Saccharomyces cerevisiae S288C: one gene and its partner. The protein of the gene in region 2 interacts with the protein of the main gene of each other region in a biochemical or structural test. Each region holds a gene or a part of one and is shown on either strand. Other genes may lie near its edges. The genes, in order: APL1 and IRC6.

Region 1 (8,744 bases), on a different chromosome or scaffold from region 2:
GGGAACTTGATGATGTGAAAGTTTACTCCTAGCAGTTAACATTTCCACTTCTGTTTCCTCTTGAATGGCATCATTCAACTCTTCCTTGCTTCCGACGTACCCAGTATATTGGAATCTGCGGCCCCAATGACAGAAATCACTGCTTACAATGAATAAATTGTTCGGATCCTTAATGTACTCCGACAAGATATTACCAATGCAACGATCAACATCAACGCTGTTATGAGAAACCATCATAGGAAATACCTTCACCGTATCTAAAGAAATTTCTCTCCATTTCAAAGTTTCCACCAACATGGGGAGCTGCATCTCTAAGGAATGTTCAGCCATATCAGTGTCATGATCCATTGGCTTAAACAGCTTCTTTCCGTTCTCAGGATACTCCTTCTGTATTAATGTTTTACACAAGTCTGTATCCACTTTCAGATTACCCAAGGGCGTCTCTAGCTCACTGAATGCACTAACTAATATTTGGTTTTTGAAATAGATGTGATGCGACGGCCCCAAGATAAATATTCTCTTAACATTACGGTTCAAATCCAACGATGCGTACGAGTAGGCCATAGTGGGTCCACAATACCTGTAACCGGCATGAGGACATATGATAATTCTGGCGTTGTGAATTGGGCCTTTAAGGGTACTTTTGATCAAGTATGTATGCAGTTGTTGAGATAATTCTTGGGCTCTATTGGAATACCATGAGCCTGCATGTGTTGCTGGACGTATTGACATGTTTGAAAAATTCTATTCTTTGCACTGTAGTCCACCTAAGCCACCGACTAGGACCACTTCACTTAAGTATCAGTCAGACTTTCCTTTGAAAATATATCAGTGTGTATCCGCATGTTATCTGTTTTGTTGAAAATCACATGAGTGGACGGCCCCTTTGTCTTGTCTTAGTGTTCCCCAATGATTTAAATGCAATTCCGAAGGAAAGGGGGGAGCCTCATATTATTACAGCATCACTACCTTTTGAGGTAAAAATATCTCATGTGAAAAAGATAAATTATAGAGAACCGGCAGGGCATGCTCCACTGACAACCCCGTGGTAACAGAAATTAAATTTTGATTATGATTAAATGGATTGTAATATTTATAATAGCCAAATGTACAAGGTGTATATTGCAAAGAATATGATATGGCAGGATATACGTATTTGTTCTATACAAAATTTTCTAAAACAGTATGACACTTGAAAACACCTAGAAAAATTAGGCGCGGCAATGATTACTCGTCGTCTGACTCATCCTCATCGTCTTCAGAGTCAGATCTATTATCTAATTCTTTGCTTTCTAATAGAGCTTGTAACTCAGCGTCTTCAGTAGCAGTGACAGCCTTTGGTGGCATGGTAATGTTGCAAACACCGCCGTATTTTGTAATAACCTCTGTAATTTTTTCAATAGCGCTTTCCAGTTGTTCAATACCTTTTTGCTTATCCAAGGCTTGGGTGGTCAAAACATATAATGGGGCGGCGACTAATTTAACTTTAACTTGCATTTGTTCTGTGGACATGTCTTCAGCTGATTTTAATGCGTCTTTAATGGCATCGATACCTTCGTAACTAAAACAAGACACTTCAACATCGGCTCTAATCTTTACAGCTTGTGGTGTTAATCTCTTGGAGATATAGTTCTTTAATTCATCTAAAACATCTTTTGATGGCGGTTCAATACCTTCCCAAACAGTTTCGTCAATGATGGATAGTTTGAAAGCTTCGTAAGCGTGACCAAATTTTCGACTTAATGGCCAAGCAATGGTCTTATATAGTTCTTCCAAAGGGATTTGGAATTTTTCGGCACAGTATCTTAAAATGGAATGAACAGTCTTAGATTTTTGGTATTTTTCTTCACATTTAATGATATCTTCAGAAGAAACACGACGTTTGGACAAATCAATATAACCTTTTTCTTTGTCGACACGAAGAACAACGGCGACATCATTTTTACCAACACGAATTAATTTTTGGATTGACCTAATACGTCTACGGGACAATTCACTTAGTAGAATCATACCTTCAATGTTGTCATATTCTAACAATTTAACATAAGCACCCATTTCAGCAATCTGCTGGACGTTAACCATGACGATATCGTCAATTTCTGGGTATTTGTTTTCATAAAATCTGCAATGAGAAGTGGACATTATTTGGTGTATTATAGAAGGTGCGTGAGGCAGCAGAAAAGACACAAAAATATGAAGACAAAAACTGATTAGTAAACAGATTGCACTTTACTCTTTAATGACCTAGGAAATAAACAATGGTTGAAAATTTGTAAATGCGATTTTATACTACTATTTCATCAGATTTGTGCTTTCTCTTCTTCTCTTTTTCGCCTCTTCGAAGAAAAAATTTTTCTCCGACTGCGGGTAAGAAAAAACGCTCATAGTTTTTCTACCAGCTGTGACAAGAAACGTATTTTGAGCTGAACGATGAATGCTCACTTTTACATATAAAACTTAATTGCATATCTATGTGGAAATTATTCCTTGTTTTATTTAAATGTCAATCTTGACCGTCTCTGCTTCTAACGTTTCCAAATCCAGTAATATTATCATCCCAGTAGAACTGAATTCAGGGACAGATATTATCTTTATGTTCTTACCACCTATTTCCACTACTCTTGTTCCAAAATATGGCTGGTTTGCCACAATGTAAACGTGGGGCCACTTATCCAATACAAATGGATCCTTATCAGTGTACGGATAACACCATAAGGTATCAGGTGCGGTGGGCGCGATGTTTTGCCATTTCATTGTACATTCCATAAGGTCCAGGCGATGCTCTATATCGTCTTTGAAATCATTACTCTCGCCCTCCTCGACCTTGTTTTCACTTTCTCCGTTATCATTTGATGGTATTACGTATTTACAAATATCATTGATATTTTTGCCTGAAACGGCTAGAACGTCTACGCCATTATAGCTAAACTCATATGGGTTGGTCACTAAATTCAAAATTTCTTTGTTAGAACCGTTGAAGTATGATTCTAGGGACTTATCAAACAATGATTTGTGGAAAGGCTGTTGCGGTAGAGATTTGTCACTTGGATCATTGGTTCCGGGCATAATATCAACAGATATAGATGGCAAAATGTTGTGTAGAAATTTACTGAACTCAGTTAGAGAAATCATCAATTCGTCTTTGTTCACGCTTTTAATGTCGAAGTCAACAGAGTTGCCGCATATCAGTAATCTACCAATTAGAGAAATGTCGTCAATTTTGTTATTGATTCTCCCCATCAAAAATTCTCTCAAAATCTCCAATCTCAATAGCCTATCAGGTGATGTATTATTGAGGTTTAACCCAGAAACAAGAGCAATTTTTCCCCTGGTGGGGCAGGTAGCAATTGGTGCAGGGAAAGGATTTTGTGGTAAAGGAGTGGGGTAGCATATGTCTAAAACTTGAAATGTCCCGGCTTCAGCTTCCATACCCAGTATACCTACAACAACACCCGTGATGAAGGGTGTAGACCGAATAAAATCTCCCACTAGAAGCACTCTCCCACTTTCATCTTCGAGCATAATTTCATCAGAACCACCCTCTTTATCAGTATAACTTTTAGTTAAATCTGGTGCACCATATGTATCATTGATCACTTCGTCCAGTACGTTTGGTTTATATTTCATCTCGCAATATATGGATCCTACGCACCAACATGGTTGGTTTCCCTGAATATCTAACACTTTGTCCTTTTTTAGAACTAATTGGCCATTCAAGGTAAAGCCCGCATCCCATCTCTTGTCACATTCTTTTAAGACGCGTTCTCTGAAAGTCTTTAGACGGTATTGATAAATGTGGTAGTACTGAGAACCGTAGTCACGTTTTTTATAGCATAGTTGGAATGGATTCGATTTGTTGTAAAGATTGTCGTCAACAATTCTTACTCTCGTTCGTGGTTGGGACAAGTTTTCATCTTGGAGACTTCTATCCTCGTTGAACTTTGTTAACAATGCGTCCATTGCCCTTCACTTCCATTTTTGCAGGAAAGATTCAGCTATAGTTCGCTTATTGCAATGGGATTTCAAAAATAGTTTATATTTTAACTTTTGAAATTAATCAGACGCGTCTGATTAATCGTATAACATGATATAAATCTAGAGTTAGTATTGGCGGCTATTTTGCTTTTCCTCTGGTTTTCCTTTCCCTTTGACACCCTTTTTGCCACTTAACTACTGTATAAGAGTGGGTAAAGCACACCCACAAAGCATTGAACGACAGATTGATATCAACAGGCTGAAATAGAACAATCGAGAATGTTGCACCCTTTTTTCCAATCTAAGCACTTGCGTACATATATATATATATATAGGATAATGTGTAGTCGTATTATTAACCGCCTTTTGGAAGTTTGCTAACCGCATAGTTGTCATTAGAAACCACCAAACATAGTGAAGAAGCGAACATGCATAATACTGGCAAGAGATACTCAGAAACTGCCAAAAAAGTGGCAGCAGGAAGAGCAAGAAAACGTAGGCAAGCTTACGAAAAGGACCAACTAGAGAAACAACAACTAGAAGCTCAAGAAGCTCAGAGGTGGGAAGAAGGTGCGAGAACCCCTAACCAGAAGAAGCTGATTATGGAACAAAAAAAGACAGAGAAGCTAAGAGCCAAAAAGGAAAGAGACCAATTACTAGCCGCCGAAGAGGAAGCTTTAGGTAAGGGAGGCAGGGGAAAAAGATACTGAAATGACGGAAAACGAGAATATGGAGCAGAGAGCAACTTTTAGAGCTTTACCCGTTAAAAGGTCAAATCGAGGCTTCCTGCCTTTGTCTGATTTTAGTAGTACCGGAAGGTTTATTACGCCCAAGAACAGTGCTTGAATTGAGTTCTCGGGACACGGGAAAGACAATGGAAGAAAAATTTACATTCAGTAGCCTTATATATGAAATGCTGCCAAGCCACGTCTTTATAAGTAGATAATGTCCCATGAGCTGAACTATGGGAATTTATGACGCAGTTCATTGTATATATATTACATTAACTCTTTAGTTTAACATCTGAATTGTTTTATAAAATAACTTTTTGAATTTTTTTATGATCGCTTAGTTAAGTCTATTATATCAGGTTTTTTCATTCATCATAATTGTTCGTTAAATATGAGTATATTTAAATACAGGAATTAGTATCATTTGCAGTCACGAAAAGGGCCGTTTCATAGAGAGTTTTCTTAATAAAGTTGAGGGTTTCCGTGATAGTTTTGAGGGGTTGTTTGAACTAGATTTACGCTTACCTTTCAACTGATTAATTTTTTCAGCGGGCTTATCATAATCATCCATCATAGCAGTCTTTCTGGACTTCGTCGAGGACTGGCTTTCTGAATTTTGACGGTCCCTATTAGCTCCAGTTGGAGGAAATGAGTTACCTACAACTGGCAAGAGGTCTTTGTTTGGATTCAAAATAGGACTTTGTGGTAGCAGTTTGGTTTTATTCAATCTAAAGATATGAGAAACAGGTTTTAAGTAAATCGATACTATTGTACCAATGTTTAGCTCCAATTCCTCCAAAACGGTGGGATCTAATTTCGTGTTCATTTCTATTAGTGGCAACTCTCCGTCCAGTACTGATTTTAAAGATTCAAAAGTTATCGCGTTTGATATACGAGACGTTTTCGTTAATGACAGCAATCTCCAATACATCAGTGTTTTATCTCTTAAGTCAGGATTATTTTCGTGATCGATGCATCCTTTTAATAAATCCATACAAAGTTCTTCAGTTTCCTTTGTAGGACTTCTGATGAAGAATTTTATTGCTGAGTTCAGAATGGAAAATTGCACTTCTAGCGTCTCACTAAACATGTTTGAGGAAAAAACTCTAAATAACTCCAGGTAGTTTGGAATTACATCCGAATATTGCGTTATTATCCAGATCATAGCGTTTTTTGATTCAGGTTCCTGTACAACTTCAGTGTGTTTGACTAGTTCTGTTACGTTTGCTTTAAAATTATTGGGATATTTCCTCAAAATATTTCTGAAAACCGAAATAATCTCCTGGACGACATAATCAACACCGAATTCTAACAAATCTAGTAGAACAGCGACACAATCGTGTACAGAGTCTTCATCTAGCTTAACAGCCAGATTACCAATGGCTCTGACTGATTTCCTTGACATTTGAATATCAATATCTGTAGCATATTGTTCCAACTCTTCTAGAATTCTTGGTAATGTTTCCTTGTTAGCTAAAAGATATAAACACTCTAATTTCGTGTCTTTGATGTATATGGGGTCATTGTACTCGATGAAAAAATACGAAATGTCTAGCCTGAGTAGAGATGACTCCCTACTCAATAAAAGAAGAATAACGTTTCTTAATACTAAAAATTGTAATTCAGGCGGCTTATCTAACAAAGCTATTACAGAGTTAGATAGCTTTTCGGCTAGAGTTTCTTTGATGACGTCAACATAATTCAACAAGTACATGATGAATTTTAAAGAGTTCAACACTACGTATGTGTTTACTTGTTGCAGGTACGGTAAAGCTAGTTCGATCATTTCATGGGTATCCAAATAATGCTGCGGCACAACCGAAGTCGTCAAAACTTCCAAAACAGTAGCCTTATTCCACTCATTTAATTCGGGTAAAAGCTCTAGCATGTCAAAAGCGAGTTCCAAGGGAATCCTGAAGGGTTCCATGTTAGCGTTTTTTTCGTGAATGGAATATAAAGTATGTAATGCAGCTACAATGACTTCTGGAGAGCTCGACTGTGCTTTTACAATGTCATGTAGAATGCTTGATAACCCCAATACCCTTTCATGATCAATTTCATCTAAATCCAACAGTGCGTAAATTGCTGTCCTCGTCACTTGTTCAGGTGGAGACTTGTGATTTACCAATGAAATGATACAGTCGAAGGCCTGATCAGATAGCTCTTTCACCGGGACTAATACCAGAGTTCTTAGTGCCATTATTTGTAACTTTTCATCTCTGCTTTTGAAATCGTCCATTATAAATGGCAAAGCCTCTCTGGCCTGCTGAGGTTTTAATGCGCCGATCACCCTAATATACTCATGGCAAATTCTTTTCACTTCTAGATCATCTTCAATTTGCCAAAATTTCAAGAGCTCAGAAAACAGAACGGACATTTCGCCATAGTTTCCTAGAACCAAATTGGCGATAATTTTTCTCAGAGCATTTTTCCTTCTTGTTATATTCGATTTAAACTTTTTTACTCCAAAATGTTGCAGATCTGTGACGATTTCATTTGCTTTATATCTGGCAAAAACTTTTTGATCGGACATAAGCGAAATACGTCCTATTAATGAAGTGAATGTTCTTGCTGTATTCCCTTCTTGTGCAGTAGATTAATTCTGTTTCCAGGCTGCGATACTTTGATACCCAATACTAAAAGTTGATGATTTGAACGATCTCCTATTTCCTCGCACATTTTTGGAGCGATACCCGGAAGACAGAATCGCGATGTTAAGAAAATAGTTCTGATGGCACTAAAGAGATCATGATTAAGGAAAGGTAAGTGATATGCATGAATGGGAATAGGCTTTCGAACTTGACGATTTAGTTCCTTATTTCTATCCATCTAATCCTCCAACTTCAATAGGCCTTATCTAGCTCAGAGCAGTATTTAATTGAGAATAGTAGCTTAATTGAAACCTTACTAAAAAAGTGTATGGTTACATAAGATAAGGCGTTAAGAAGAGTATACATATGCATTATTCATTACCAAGACCACTATGAATAGTAATACCATATTTAGCTTTTGAAACTCATGTTTTCTATTGTGTTGTTTCAAATTCCTCTGTTAGGCTCAATTTAGGTTAATTAAATTATAAAAAAATATAAAAAATAAAGAAAGTTTATCCATCGTCACCTCAATTCAATGGAGTAAACAGTTTCAACACTGAGTGGTGAAACATTGAACAACTACATGCAGTTTCCCGCCACGAGGCAAGTGTAGGTCCTTTGTCCATTTCGCTTTGTTTTGCAGGTCATTGATGACCTAATTAGGAAGGTAGAAGCCGCTCCAGCTCGATAAGGAAATGCTAAGGGTACTCGCCTTTGGTGTTTTACCATACAATGGCAGCTTTATGTCACTTCATTCTTCAGTAACGGCGCTTAAATATTCCCAAAAACGTTACAATGGAATTGTTTGATCATGTAACGAAATGCAATCTTCTAAAAAAAAAGCCATGTGAATCAAAAAAAGATTCCTTTTAGCATACTATAAATATGCGAAATGCCCTCTATTTATTCTAGTAATCGTCCATTCTCATATCTTCCTTATATCAGTCGCCTCGCTTAATATAGTCAGCACAAAAGGAACAACAATTCGCCAGTTTTCAAAATGTTCACTTTTCTCAAAATTATTCTGTGGCTTTTTTCCTTGGCATTGGCCTCTGCTATAAATATCAACGATATCACATTTTCCAATTTAGAAATTACTCCACTGACTGCAAATAAACAACCTGATCAAGGTTGGACTGCCACTTTTGATTTTAGTATTGCAGATGCGTCTTCCATTAGGGAGGGCGATGAATTCACATTATCAATGCCACATGTTTATAGGATTAAGCTATTAAACTCATCGCAAACAGCTACTATTTCCTTAGCGGATGGTACTGAGGCTTTCAAATGCTATGTTTCGCAACAGGCTGCATACTTGTATGAAAATACTACTTTCACATGTACTGCTCAAAATGACCTGTCCTCCTATAATACGATTGATGGATCCATAACATTTTCGCTAAATTTTAGTGATGGTGGTTCCAGCTATGAATATGAGTTAGAA
Region 2 (11,271 bases):
ACTGGCTGATCACTCTTTATGAAAATGGCCTGAACGGAATTCTTGCCGATGAAATGGGTCTTGGTAAGACTGTTCAAAGTATTGCTCTTTTGGCGTTCATATATGAAATGGACACAAAGGGTCCTTTTCTAGTGACTGCACCATTAAGCACCCTAGATAATTGGATGAACGAATTTGCAAAATTCGCTCCTGATCTACCAGTTCTAAAATATTATGGGACCAATGGTTATAAGGAACGTTCTGCCAAGTTGAAAAATTTCTTTAAACAACACGGCGGCACGGGGATCGTCATCACATCATATGAAATTATTTTAAGAGATACCGACTTAATCATGAGTCAAAATTGGAAATTTTTAATTGTTGATGAAGGCCACCGTCTGAAAAATATAAACTGTAGATTGATTAAAGAGTTAAAAAAAATCAATACTTCCAATAGACTGCTACTAACAGGGACGCCTTTACAAAATAACCTAGCTGAATTATGGTCACTTTTGAATTTCATAATGCCCGATATCTTTGCCGATTTCGAGATATTCAATAAATGGTTTGACTTCGACAGCTTAAATTTAGGCTCCGGTTCCAACTCTGAAGCATTGAATAAGTTAATCAACGATGAACTACAGAAAAATTTGATTTCCAATTTACACACAATTCTGAAACCATTCCTTTTGAGAAGATTGAAAAAAGTTGTTTTGGCTAATATTCTGCCGCCAAAGAGAGAATATATCATAAATTGTCCGATGACGTCTGCACAGGAAAAATTCTATAAGGCTGGATTGAATGGAAAGTTGAAAAAAACCATGTTCAAAGAATTAATCAAGGATTTTTTCACATTGAACGATGAATACATCGGCCACGTTTCTAATCGGTCCATACGAGATTTCATCAATTATAAACTATCTGGTAATGAAACTTCAAATACAGACAATAAAATCAATCCAACCTTGTTGCAAATGGACAAACTATATAAGAAGAACCTGCAAATGGAAATTTCAAATAAGAAATTGCAAAATATGATGATGCAATTGAGACAAATCATTGACTCAACTTTTTTGTTTTATTTCCCATATTTACACCCAGAAGACTTGACTTTGGAAACTCTTTTAAAGACGTCTGGGAAATTACAAATCTTACAAAAATTAATCCCCCCATTAATATCTGAGGGGCACAAAGTGCTTATTTATTCTCAGTTTGTTAACATGCTCGATTTGATCGAAGATTGGTGTGATTTAAATTCGTTCGCGACATTTCGAATTGATGGTTCAGTAAACAATGAAACAAGAAAGGATCAACTCGAGAAGTTTAATAGCTCGAAAGATAAGCATAACATTTTCCTATTGTCCACAAGGGCGGCAGGACTGGGTATTAATCTAGTCGGGGCAGATACAGTTGTCTTGTTTGATAGTGATTGGAATCCACAGGTGGATTTACAAGCCATGGACAGGTGTCACCGTATTGGCCAAGAATCACCGGTTATAGTATATAGGTTGTGTTGTGATAACACCATTGAACATGTTATATTGACCAGAGCGGCCAATAAGCGAAATTTGGAAAGAATGGTTATCCAGATGGGAAAATTCAATAACCTGAAAAAATTGGCGTTAAATGAAGGTTCTTTTTTGAAGGCAAACAAAGCGGGTGTTAATGTCACTAATAAGGACTTAGTCCAGGAGTTATCTATGCTTTTAATGAGCGATGAATCCAATATAGGCTTTGAAAATGGGGGACAGAAAGAAAATAAGGCTACTGAGGGCCAACTGACTGATAAGGAGGTTGAAGAATTGACCAACAGATCTCTTGAAGCGTACAAGGCCAACAGAGTCGTAGATCTGCCGCACGTCAAGCTATTTGAAACAACCTCCGGTCTTTAACTTGGTTATCATACAATATTGTTTTTATTAAATGTTTGTATATATGTACATATACATACCTATATATTGATCAATGTTCTTGCCGTACAAATTCTTCCTCTAGTTGTTCCTTTAGTTCACGGTTTTTGAATAAAGTATCCGCAGTATTCATTCGTTGCAGAAAGGTATCTTGAATATTATTTTTTGTGTTCTGGAAATCAGCTTTTAGTTTAGTAATCCATTCCAGTATCAAAGTCATATCCAGATCATGTTTTACCAGACGGTTCCTCTCAGAAATAACTTTCTTTTTCAATTCCATGAAACGGAGCCAGTTGGAATGATTCTCTTCTATATAGGCAGGATCGTATTGATCTTCCAAATGGAGACCTCTGACGTCCATATATGCCATTCTTTGCGACCATTGACTTATCATTACATCGCCCCACTCTTCGTACACTTCGACGTTTTCAAGACGAATCGATTCTGCCAGTTTAGCCATTTCGGTAAGAAAAGAATCTAATGAATGAAACAGTGATTTTTCAAAGTCTAACAAATGTATTTTATAATTCTTCAGTATCGATGTGATAGATGATTTGGTAATGTAAGCTTCCAGTTCAACTTGACCCGATTCATCAAAATACTTTATTTTATTTTGCACAGGATCGAATTTAGAGGTACAATTAATATCTTTGATTTTTGAATCTAGAAACACTAATTGCTCATTAACGGTAGTGTTAAGGTCATCAAGATTCCTAGTGATTTCTATAGATTTATTTTGCACCTCGGCCTCGAACACAGACTGTATCTCTGAATCCAAAAGTGCCATCGCACTGTGTATTTTCGAATCTATAGCCTTAATCCATGCTTCATATTCCATTTTTAATGATTCTGCCTCGTAAGTTTCCAATTCTGCATGGCTATTGGAACCAATGATAATCTTTGACAAATCCTGCAAAATAGCAGCAGTGACGAGTTGTGAGTTCCCGTGGCCATCCTGTACTCCATCGAACTCGTATTCTTTATTTTCATCCTCAATTCCGACATCATCCTCATCCTCATCTTCATCCTCATCCTCATTTTCATTCTCATCATCCTCATAATCCTCTGTTTCCGAGTCTGTCTCAAAAATGGGTTTGGTGAGCGTGCCATCAGCGCTAAAGGAGCCGTATTTCATCCAATCCGTAGAGGAGTTAAATGGATTCTCTAGTACATTCTTCACATTGTCTGTATATGGCTTTAAATAGTACCAGGCAATCCTTAGATGATTTAATAAAGGTCCCAACTTGGAATGTAGCGAACAGCAGAGCTCATTTAGCCTTAGAAAAGAGAAAATATTGTACCAAAAGCGGTAAAAATATCCCATAATTCTCTTCAAGGATGAGTTGGGGTATCTTTCAATCAGTGGTTTTATCGATTGTGAGTACTTTCCAACTAAATAGTCAGAAACCGCTGAACCTTCAACCAATTTAGAATCGAATAGTGAGCCAACTGAAAATTCAGTATGCCGGCAAATGGGCTGTAAATCTGTGGCAAAGCTTCCCAGACCATTTTGCTGACAGACCAGATACCTTGCAATAAACACGCAAGCCAGCAAAGCAGTCGTTACTTTGAAAACGGCCTTCATGATTTTTAGTAAAGAACTAACCACCTTTTTCTTAGTTAAGAAAAGGTCAATCAGTAACAGAAATATGATAGTAGCAACACCCAAAAAAATGCTATCTTCCAATAGTCAAAAAGGAAGCCTCGATGCCATACAAGTCTCTTCTAAAGTACTATTATGTAATTCCTGTTAAATGATACCTGTATTGTGGCTTAAAAGGGCCGAAATGACAACAAAATGAGTAGGGTTAATTTAATTTTTAAAGAGGGCATTTATCTAAAAAATGAAAGACAACTATAGGGCTGGTAATTATAGAATAGGTCTTAGTAGGGTTATCCCTTCCTCTAGAAAAAAAGAAAGAAAAATAATTTTAAGTGGCCAATTAGAACCAAAACCAACAGTATCGTGGTATCATACGCTCCAAAGCAACTAGAAGAAAGGCCTTATTTGACCATTGGATTCAGTATTTTTTCTCCAAGTAGCGGTTAAAAGACTGAGAGACTAAAGCTAGATAGTGGGTTTGAGTGACTATCCCCTTTTTTCCTCCTCTTTTTTTATTATTTTGATTTTATTTCATTTTGATTTTATTTCAACACGATTAAGACACAAGCGTTACTTCCCTAGACTATAGTCTCTGCCGTTCCCATTCTATTGATTTTTGGAGCAGCAGTTTTTACAAAAGAAAAGAAAAAAAAGACGAAAACAACAAGCCAGAGTAAAGATGTCGTTTTGGCCATTTGGACAGAATCTTAATCACTCTAATATTAATAAGATCCTAGATGAATATTTTCATGTGCTACACGAACTGGAAAGGATTAACCCAAGCGTTGGTAAAGCCATTCCCGCTATTTTCAACAACGTTCAGGAACGAGGTACAAGTGACTCCCTAGATTCTATTCCGGAGGAGTATAGTCATGGTGATGAAGTGAAAACGGCACGTGGAGATCAGAAGAGTCGATTTGAGAAGGATGATCAGCAAGAACGGTATGAGAAAGAGGAAGAGGAACGGAGCATGAACTCTAGCGAATCTTCCACTACATCTTTTTCTTCTGGGTCAACTTCTAAAACTGATTTAGATGAGGAGGATATCAGCAATGCTACTGCTCCCATGATGGTCACCACAAAGAATTTGGATAACTCTTTTATTGAAAGAATGCTTGTAGAGACAGAGCTACTGAACGAATTATCGAGACAAAACAAGACGCTACTTGACTTCATTTGCTTTGGATTTTTCTTTGATAAGAAAACTAATAAGAAAGTGAATAATATGGAATATCTGGTCGACCAACTGATGGAATGTATCTCGAAGATTAAAACCGCCACCACAGTGGATTTGAATAACCTGATAGATTATCAAGAACAGCAACAGCTTGATGATAGCTCACAAGAGGACGTTTATGTGGAATCTGATACGGAGCAAGAAGAGGAGAAAGAGGACGATAATAACAGCAATAACAAGAAGAGACGAAAACGCGGAAGCTCCTCGTTTGGTAACGATGATATCAACAACAATGACGACGACGACGATGCGAATGAGGACGATGAATCTGCTTATTTGACAAAGGCCACCATAATATCTGAAATCTTTTCCTTAGACATATGGTTGATTAGCGAGTCATTAGTTAAAAACCAATCATACTTAAACAAGATTTGGTCTATCATCAACCAGCCAAATTTCAATTCTGAAAACTCTCCCTTGGTACCCATATTCTTAAAGATTAACCAAAATCTGTTGTTAACCAGGCAGGATCAATATTTAAATTTTATTCGAACGGAGAGAAGCTTTGTTGATGATATGTTAAAGCATGTTGATATTTCCCTATTGATGGATTTTTTCTTGAAAATAATATCCACAGATAAGATTGAATCACCCACGGGAATAATTGAATTAGTATATGATCAAAACTTGATCAGCAAATGCTTAAGCTTTCTAAATAACAAAGAGTCCCCAGCTGACATCCAAGCATGCGTGGGTGATTTCTTAAAGGCTCTGATTGCCATTTCTGCTAATGCACCCTTGGATGATATTTCCATTGGTCCAAACTCCTTGACGAGACAGCTAGCATCTCCCGAATCCATTGCAAAGCTAGTCGATATCATGATCAACCAAAGAGGTGCCGCATTAAATACCACAGTTTCGATTGTCATTGAGCTGATAAGGAAAAACAATTCAGACTACGATCAAGTTAATCTTTTAACCACTACTATAAAGACTCATCCACCTTCAAATAGAGATCCAATATATTTAGGCTATCTACTTCGGAAATTTTCAAACCATTTGTCCGATTTTTTCCAAATCATTCTAGATATTGAAAATGACGCCAACATCCCATTACATGAAAATCAGTTGCACGAAAAATTTAAACCTTTAGGATTTGAAAGATTCAAAGTGGTGGAATTAATCGCCGAGTTACTGCATTGCTCTAATATGGGATTAATGAATTCCAAAAGGGCAGAAAGAATAGCCAGAAGAAGAGATAAAGTAAGGAGCCAGTTATCCCATCATTTACAAGATGCATTAAACGATCTGAGTATCGAAGAAAAGGAGCAACTTAAAACGAAGCACTCTCCAACACGTGACACTGATCACGACCTAAAAAATAACAACGGTAAAATAGATAACGACAATAATGATAATGATGATGAAAGTGACTATGGCGACGAAATAGACGAGAGCTTCGAAATTCCATACATCAATATGAAGCAAAACATAAAACTTAGGACCGACCCCACGGTCGGGGACCTATTCAAAATCAAACTATATGATACGCGAATTGTTTCCAAAATAATGGAACTATTCTTAACACATCCTTGGAACAATTTTTGGCATAATGTTATATTCGACATAATTCAGCAAATCTTCAATGGAAGAATGGATTTTTCCTATAATTCCTTCCTTGTTTTGTCTCTGTTTAACTTAAAGAGCTCCTATCAATTTATGACTGATATCGTCATATCAGATGAAAAAGGAACGGATGTTTCCCGATTTTCTCCCGTTATTAGAGACCCAAATTTTGATTTCAAAATAACTACAGACTTCATATTAAGGGGCTACCAGGATTCATATAAATTTTATGAGCTAAGGAAAATGAATTTGGGATATATGGGCCATATTGTCTTGATTGCCGAAGAAGTGGTCAAATTTTCTAAATTGTACAAAGTGGAACTAATATCTCCCGATATTCAAGTAATTTTACAAACCGAAGAATGGCAATACTACTCCGAAGAAGTCTTAAACGAAACAAGAATGATGTACTCTAAAATTCTTGGCGGTGGAAGTTATATTGATGATGGAAATGGTAACATCATTCCGCAGCTGCCTGACAATACTACTGTATTAACTCCAAATGGTGATGCAAGTAATAATAATGAAATCCTTGATTCAGATACCGGGAGTAGTAATGGAACAAGTGGTGGCGGCCAATTAATCAATGTTGAGTCTCTAGAAGAACAGTTGTCCTTATCTACAGAATCTGATTTACACAACAAGTTAAGGGAAATGTTAATCAATAGGGCTCAAGAAGACGTTGATAATAAGAACACGGAAAATGGGGTTTTCATACTGGGGCCGCCGGAGGACAAGAACAGTAATAGTAACATTAACAATACCAACCATAATAGTAATAATAGTAATAACAACGATAATAACGATAATAATGATAATGACAATGATAATACTCGTAATTATAATGAAGATGCTGATAATGATAATGATTATGATCATGAATGATACATTGTTTTGTACTTTTCTTTAATTTGTATATATATATATTAATTTATATGTATAAGTACCATGTAGTTTTCTATTCATTCATTCATTCATCATGATAATATTACTTCTTACGTATCATTTACGTGAATAGATCACTTTACCGTTAGGCAATTCCATTTTCTTTTGGCCTTTCTTTGCAGAACCCTTTTTTACTTTGTTCCCCTTTTTTGTTTGGTTACCATCATACTTTTTACTATCCGTTATTATTTCTTCTTTTCCTGCGCTACCAACAGATTTGCCAAACGTCATGTTCCAAACCGAAGCAGGTATTCTCCAAAACAAACAGTTCTTTACTGAAGGTTTATCCAAGGTATCTGGCGAAATTAGTGTTTCACTTCCATCAGGCTCTACAACATAGACATCGCTAAACCTTACAACCAAACTTTTACCCTCATCCTTTTCATGTTGTTTAAACGTTAGTTGTTTTACGCCTAGTCCATTGGTATCATCCTGTTGTTTACACTGACTGATGAAGTTTTCAATTCTTGATCTTTGAGAACGATATTGAATAATAGAAATGATATACTGCCCAATATTAACGACTATCCAAATAAAGGCCAGCAGGAACCAAGTCTTAGGCTTCATTCTGGAAAAATAAAAACCACCCTTATGGAAATCATAGTTTGGAAAGCCATTCTGTAGATAATAATCATAAATCTTACGATTAGAGCTGTTTGAAAGAATTTGAGTAGCGAGGTTTAACCTTTCATACAATTTACGGTATTTAGGGTTCTTATCCGGATGGTACTTCTTGGATAGCTTTCTTAAGTTTTTTGTAATCTCCTTTGTACTAGAATTCTGCAGTTTAGGTAACTTCAAGAACTTGTAGAAGTTCATATCTGGGCCATATTTCGTACTTATTTCATTTTGTAATTGGAAAATTTCTGTTTCAATGGTGGTAAAAGCATATGATAGAGATACCAATCCCAGGACAACCAACGCAGGTTTCCAGTAACCGTTCATTCTTTTAGTGATCTTGTAACCTTGATTTTTTGTTCGTTTTCTATTCTTTTGGTACGTGTTATTTTGAAAATCTCATTTTTTTCGTGATTATTAATTTTGAATATGGAAATTAAATATGATTTACCTTCAAATTGGGAAATAATGTAAATACAACGTCAATAAAAGTATTTGTTCGGTCACATATATTTAACTAGCATTGAGGATGGCAGGTATCAAGTTGACGCATAAGCTTTATCAGTATTATCAATTAGCCACAAGCTTTTTGTATGCTGCATTATTGATACGGTGGCTGATATTAATGCCACTGGTAGGGTCTCGGTTTTTACCGGGAGGAATCCACGAATTCTTGATATATTTGATGTTTTATTCCAGCATCATGGAAGTTATTTGGTTGCTTAGATTCCACGGGTTCAAATATGGTTTGCTTTCAAGAACGTTTTTGAAAGACCTAAATTTTATCTATTTAGTCAGCGTGATCCATTTTTATGACGATTATGAGCATGCATTGATCCTCAAGAATGCATCATATTCTAGTTTCATTATTTCCTTATCTTTATCACAGGCATATTGCCATTGGTGCAAACTTTTTAAACGTAAGGGCGTAAAGGAAAGAACACTTGTATGGAAGGTTAACACATTTGTTACATTGCCAATTCTCTACCTGAGTGAATTTGCATTGCTACTATTAAATATCCAGGTTAAGAACTATCATTCTACCCCGACTTTGGACATAATCAACAGGGTGGTTTTACTAGCATACTTCCCTGTACTACTAACAGCATACAAAAAACTATTAACAAAATGAGCAATCTTATTGGTTTAATACATATGTATACACATATACATATCTGTACATACTCATAAATATCTGGATAGTTCGTCAGCCATTTCATTTGCAAAAGCATCAGCTTCACTACTATTCTCGATAGACTTATATTTTAGCCTTGCACTTTGCAAATTCCTAATTATTTGTTCGAGGGGCATTTCATTAGGAATTTCCTCCCTTATTTTAGTAGCCGGTTGAACTTCACAATTTAACCAGTCGTGGGTATCTATAATCTCCTGGATCCTATCAAGCCCCAATTTTTCTCCATAGTCGTTATGATTAACAGTTGGTTTTGACCTTTTCCAGTTTACGAATTCGATGACGTTTGTAAAGGCATTGCTCCATATCTCATTCAGTTCATCAATTTCATCTTGCTCGACTTCTTCGTTCACATTGGCCAACACAACAAAAGTATTTCGATGGGCAGCTATCATGAATTGGTGCAGCAGTTCTTGAGGTTTTGTTTGCCGGATGTCCGTTATTAAGATAATTCCTGCCATGACATTTCTAAGCGGTTCACATTCAGGCGTTATAAATTCTTCCACCCATACTGGTATCTCTTTGCAAGAGTCAATATAAAGATCAAAATGGACTTTATAGTATCTATTTTCCCAAGTTTGGTCCTTAACTATACTGATGCCCGTGCTAGAGCAATGAAACAGGTCTTGCAAAAATTGTGTTTTTAAAAAGTTGTGTGGGTGATCTGATAAAACCAATATTTTATTCTGGGGGTATTGAAGAACCATGGTAGATTGGTATTTTTGCGTATATATACTTGCTATCTTGCTGCATCAGATTTTCTCTATAAAGAGTTTTCTGTTTTTCCTCTCTTTTCAGAATTCGAATAGGAATGAGTAAACTTGAATGACATGGAATTTACACATATATACACATATATAAATAAGATGACTTAGTTTTCTGGCGATTCAGAGTAATATTGCAAGTAAGCAGCCATCGTCTTCATACCACCAACAAAATTTGAAATATCTAACTTTTCATTGATTGAATGAGCACCATCATCGCCTCTACCCATTGGCAGCAATAAGACACTAGTGTTCAAGGCATCTTGGAAAGTCAAAGTGATAGGAATGGAACCACCTTCCCTGGTAAAATCAGGATCGACACCATAGACCAGTTTTGTGGCCTTTTTAGCAGCAGTAAATTGGGCGTTGAATGGATCAGAAACCCAATAAGCACCATCATGGATCAATTCTGTTCTGCACTTGTTTGGAGAGTTCAAGGACTTGAATTTGGCATCACAATGCTTCTGGACCAAAGAGGTCAGTTTCTCAGAATCCATGTCGGGGACGGTTCTAATGGAAAACTTACCGAAGACCTTAGCTGGAATGACAGTCTTTGCACCTTGAGCGGAAAAGGCGCCTTCCACACCATGAATGGACAACGAAGGATACCTCCATCTGTGCATCAAGATGTCTTCCTTCTTGTCGTACAAACTTGTCTTAGAGCCAGTTGCAGCGTTCAATTCTTCGACGCTAAATTCGATATCCTTGTATAGAGCCTTCTCCTTTTCGGTTAGAGGAGCAACCATTTCGTCAATACCGTCAATCAGGATCTTACCCTTAGAATCCACAAGGGAACCGAGAACTTGCATTAAATCGATCATTGGTTCAGCAACAACACCACCAAAGATACCAGAGTGTAAATCTGCACTTGGACCCTCAATGATGGTTTGATAGTAGTTGCAACCTCTTAGACCATAAGTCAAAACAGGCTTCTTAGTGCCTAGCCAGTAATTATCGGAAATACAAACGGCATCTACACCTTTAAAGTAACCATTAGCTTCCTTTTTAATCAATTCATCCAATTTCAAAGAACCACTTTCCTCCATTCCTTCGAAACAAGTAACTAAGTTAACGGGGAATTCTTGTCCGGAGGCTTTGAAGGCGTCCACAACGTTAATCCAAGATAATAAGGGACCAGTGTCATCGGTGACACCCCTTCCTTTCATGATACCTTTAGCCTCATCAATGACAAGCTTGAATGGCTCAGTATCCCAACCATCTTCCAATTGAGCAGGTTGCACATCATAGTGACCGTAAACCAACACAGTCTTTTTTGAAGGGTCGCTGCCGAACCTAGACAGAATCACAGGAGGTAGAGACAGATTTGGCGTAGAAATTGGTGGAGGTTGAATGCCCAGATCCACCATTTTAATGTCATGGAACCCCGATTGTGATAATTGCTCGGAGATAAACTTGGCCTTATCGAAGACTTTGGACCTTAGTGATTCATCCGAAGA

Evidence for each region.
Region 1: the proteins of IRC6 (region 2) and APL1 form a complex in vitro, tested with the Saccharomyces cerevisiae proteins (one study listed by BioGRID).

What each region holds. Positions count from the first base shown.
Region 1 is NC_001142.9:444,418-453,161, reverse strand, and holds APL1 (Apl1p), read right to left. Parts: upstream 7,240-8,744; coding exon 5,137-7,239; downstream 1-5,136. Other genes in the region: MHO1 (Mho1p), read right to left, coding at 1-732; SUI2 (translation initiation factor eIF2 subunit alpha), read right to left, coding at 1,228-2,142; DNA-directed DNA polymerase delta subunit POL31, read right to left, coding at 2,497-3,960; LSO1 (Lso1p), read left to right, coding at 4,404-4,685; SAG1 (Sag1p), read left to right, coding at 8,301-8,744. UniProt on the Saccharomyces cerevisiae protein: Adaptins are components of the adaptor complexes which link clathrin to receptors in coated vesicles. Clathrin-associated protein complexes are believed to interact with the cytoplasmic tails of membrane proteins, leading to their selection and concentration.
Region 2 is NC_001138.5:230,071-241,341, forward strand, and holds IRC6 (Irc6p), read right to left. Parts: upstream 9,758-11,271; coding exon 9,044-9,757; downstream 1-9,043. Other genes in the region: IRC5 (putative ATPase), read left to right, coding at 1-1,871; OSW7 (Osw7p), read right to left, coding at 1,942-3,474; SAP155 (Sap155p), read left to right, coding at 4,172-7,180; ERJ5 (Erj5p), read right to left, coding at 7,298-8,185; KEG1 (Keg1p), read left to right, coding at 8,388-8,990; DUG1 (metallodipeptidase), read right to left, coding at 9,922-11,271. UniProt on the Saccharomyces cerevisiae protein: Involved in gross chromosomal rearrangements (GCRs) and telomere healing.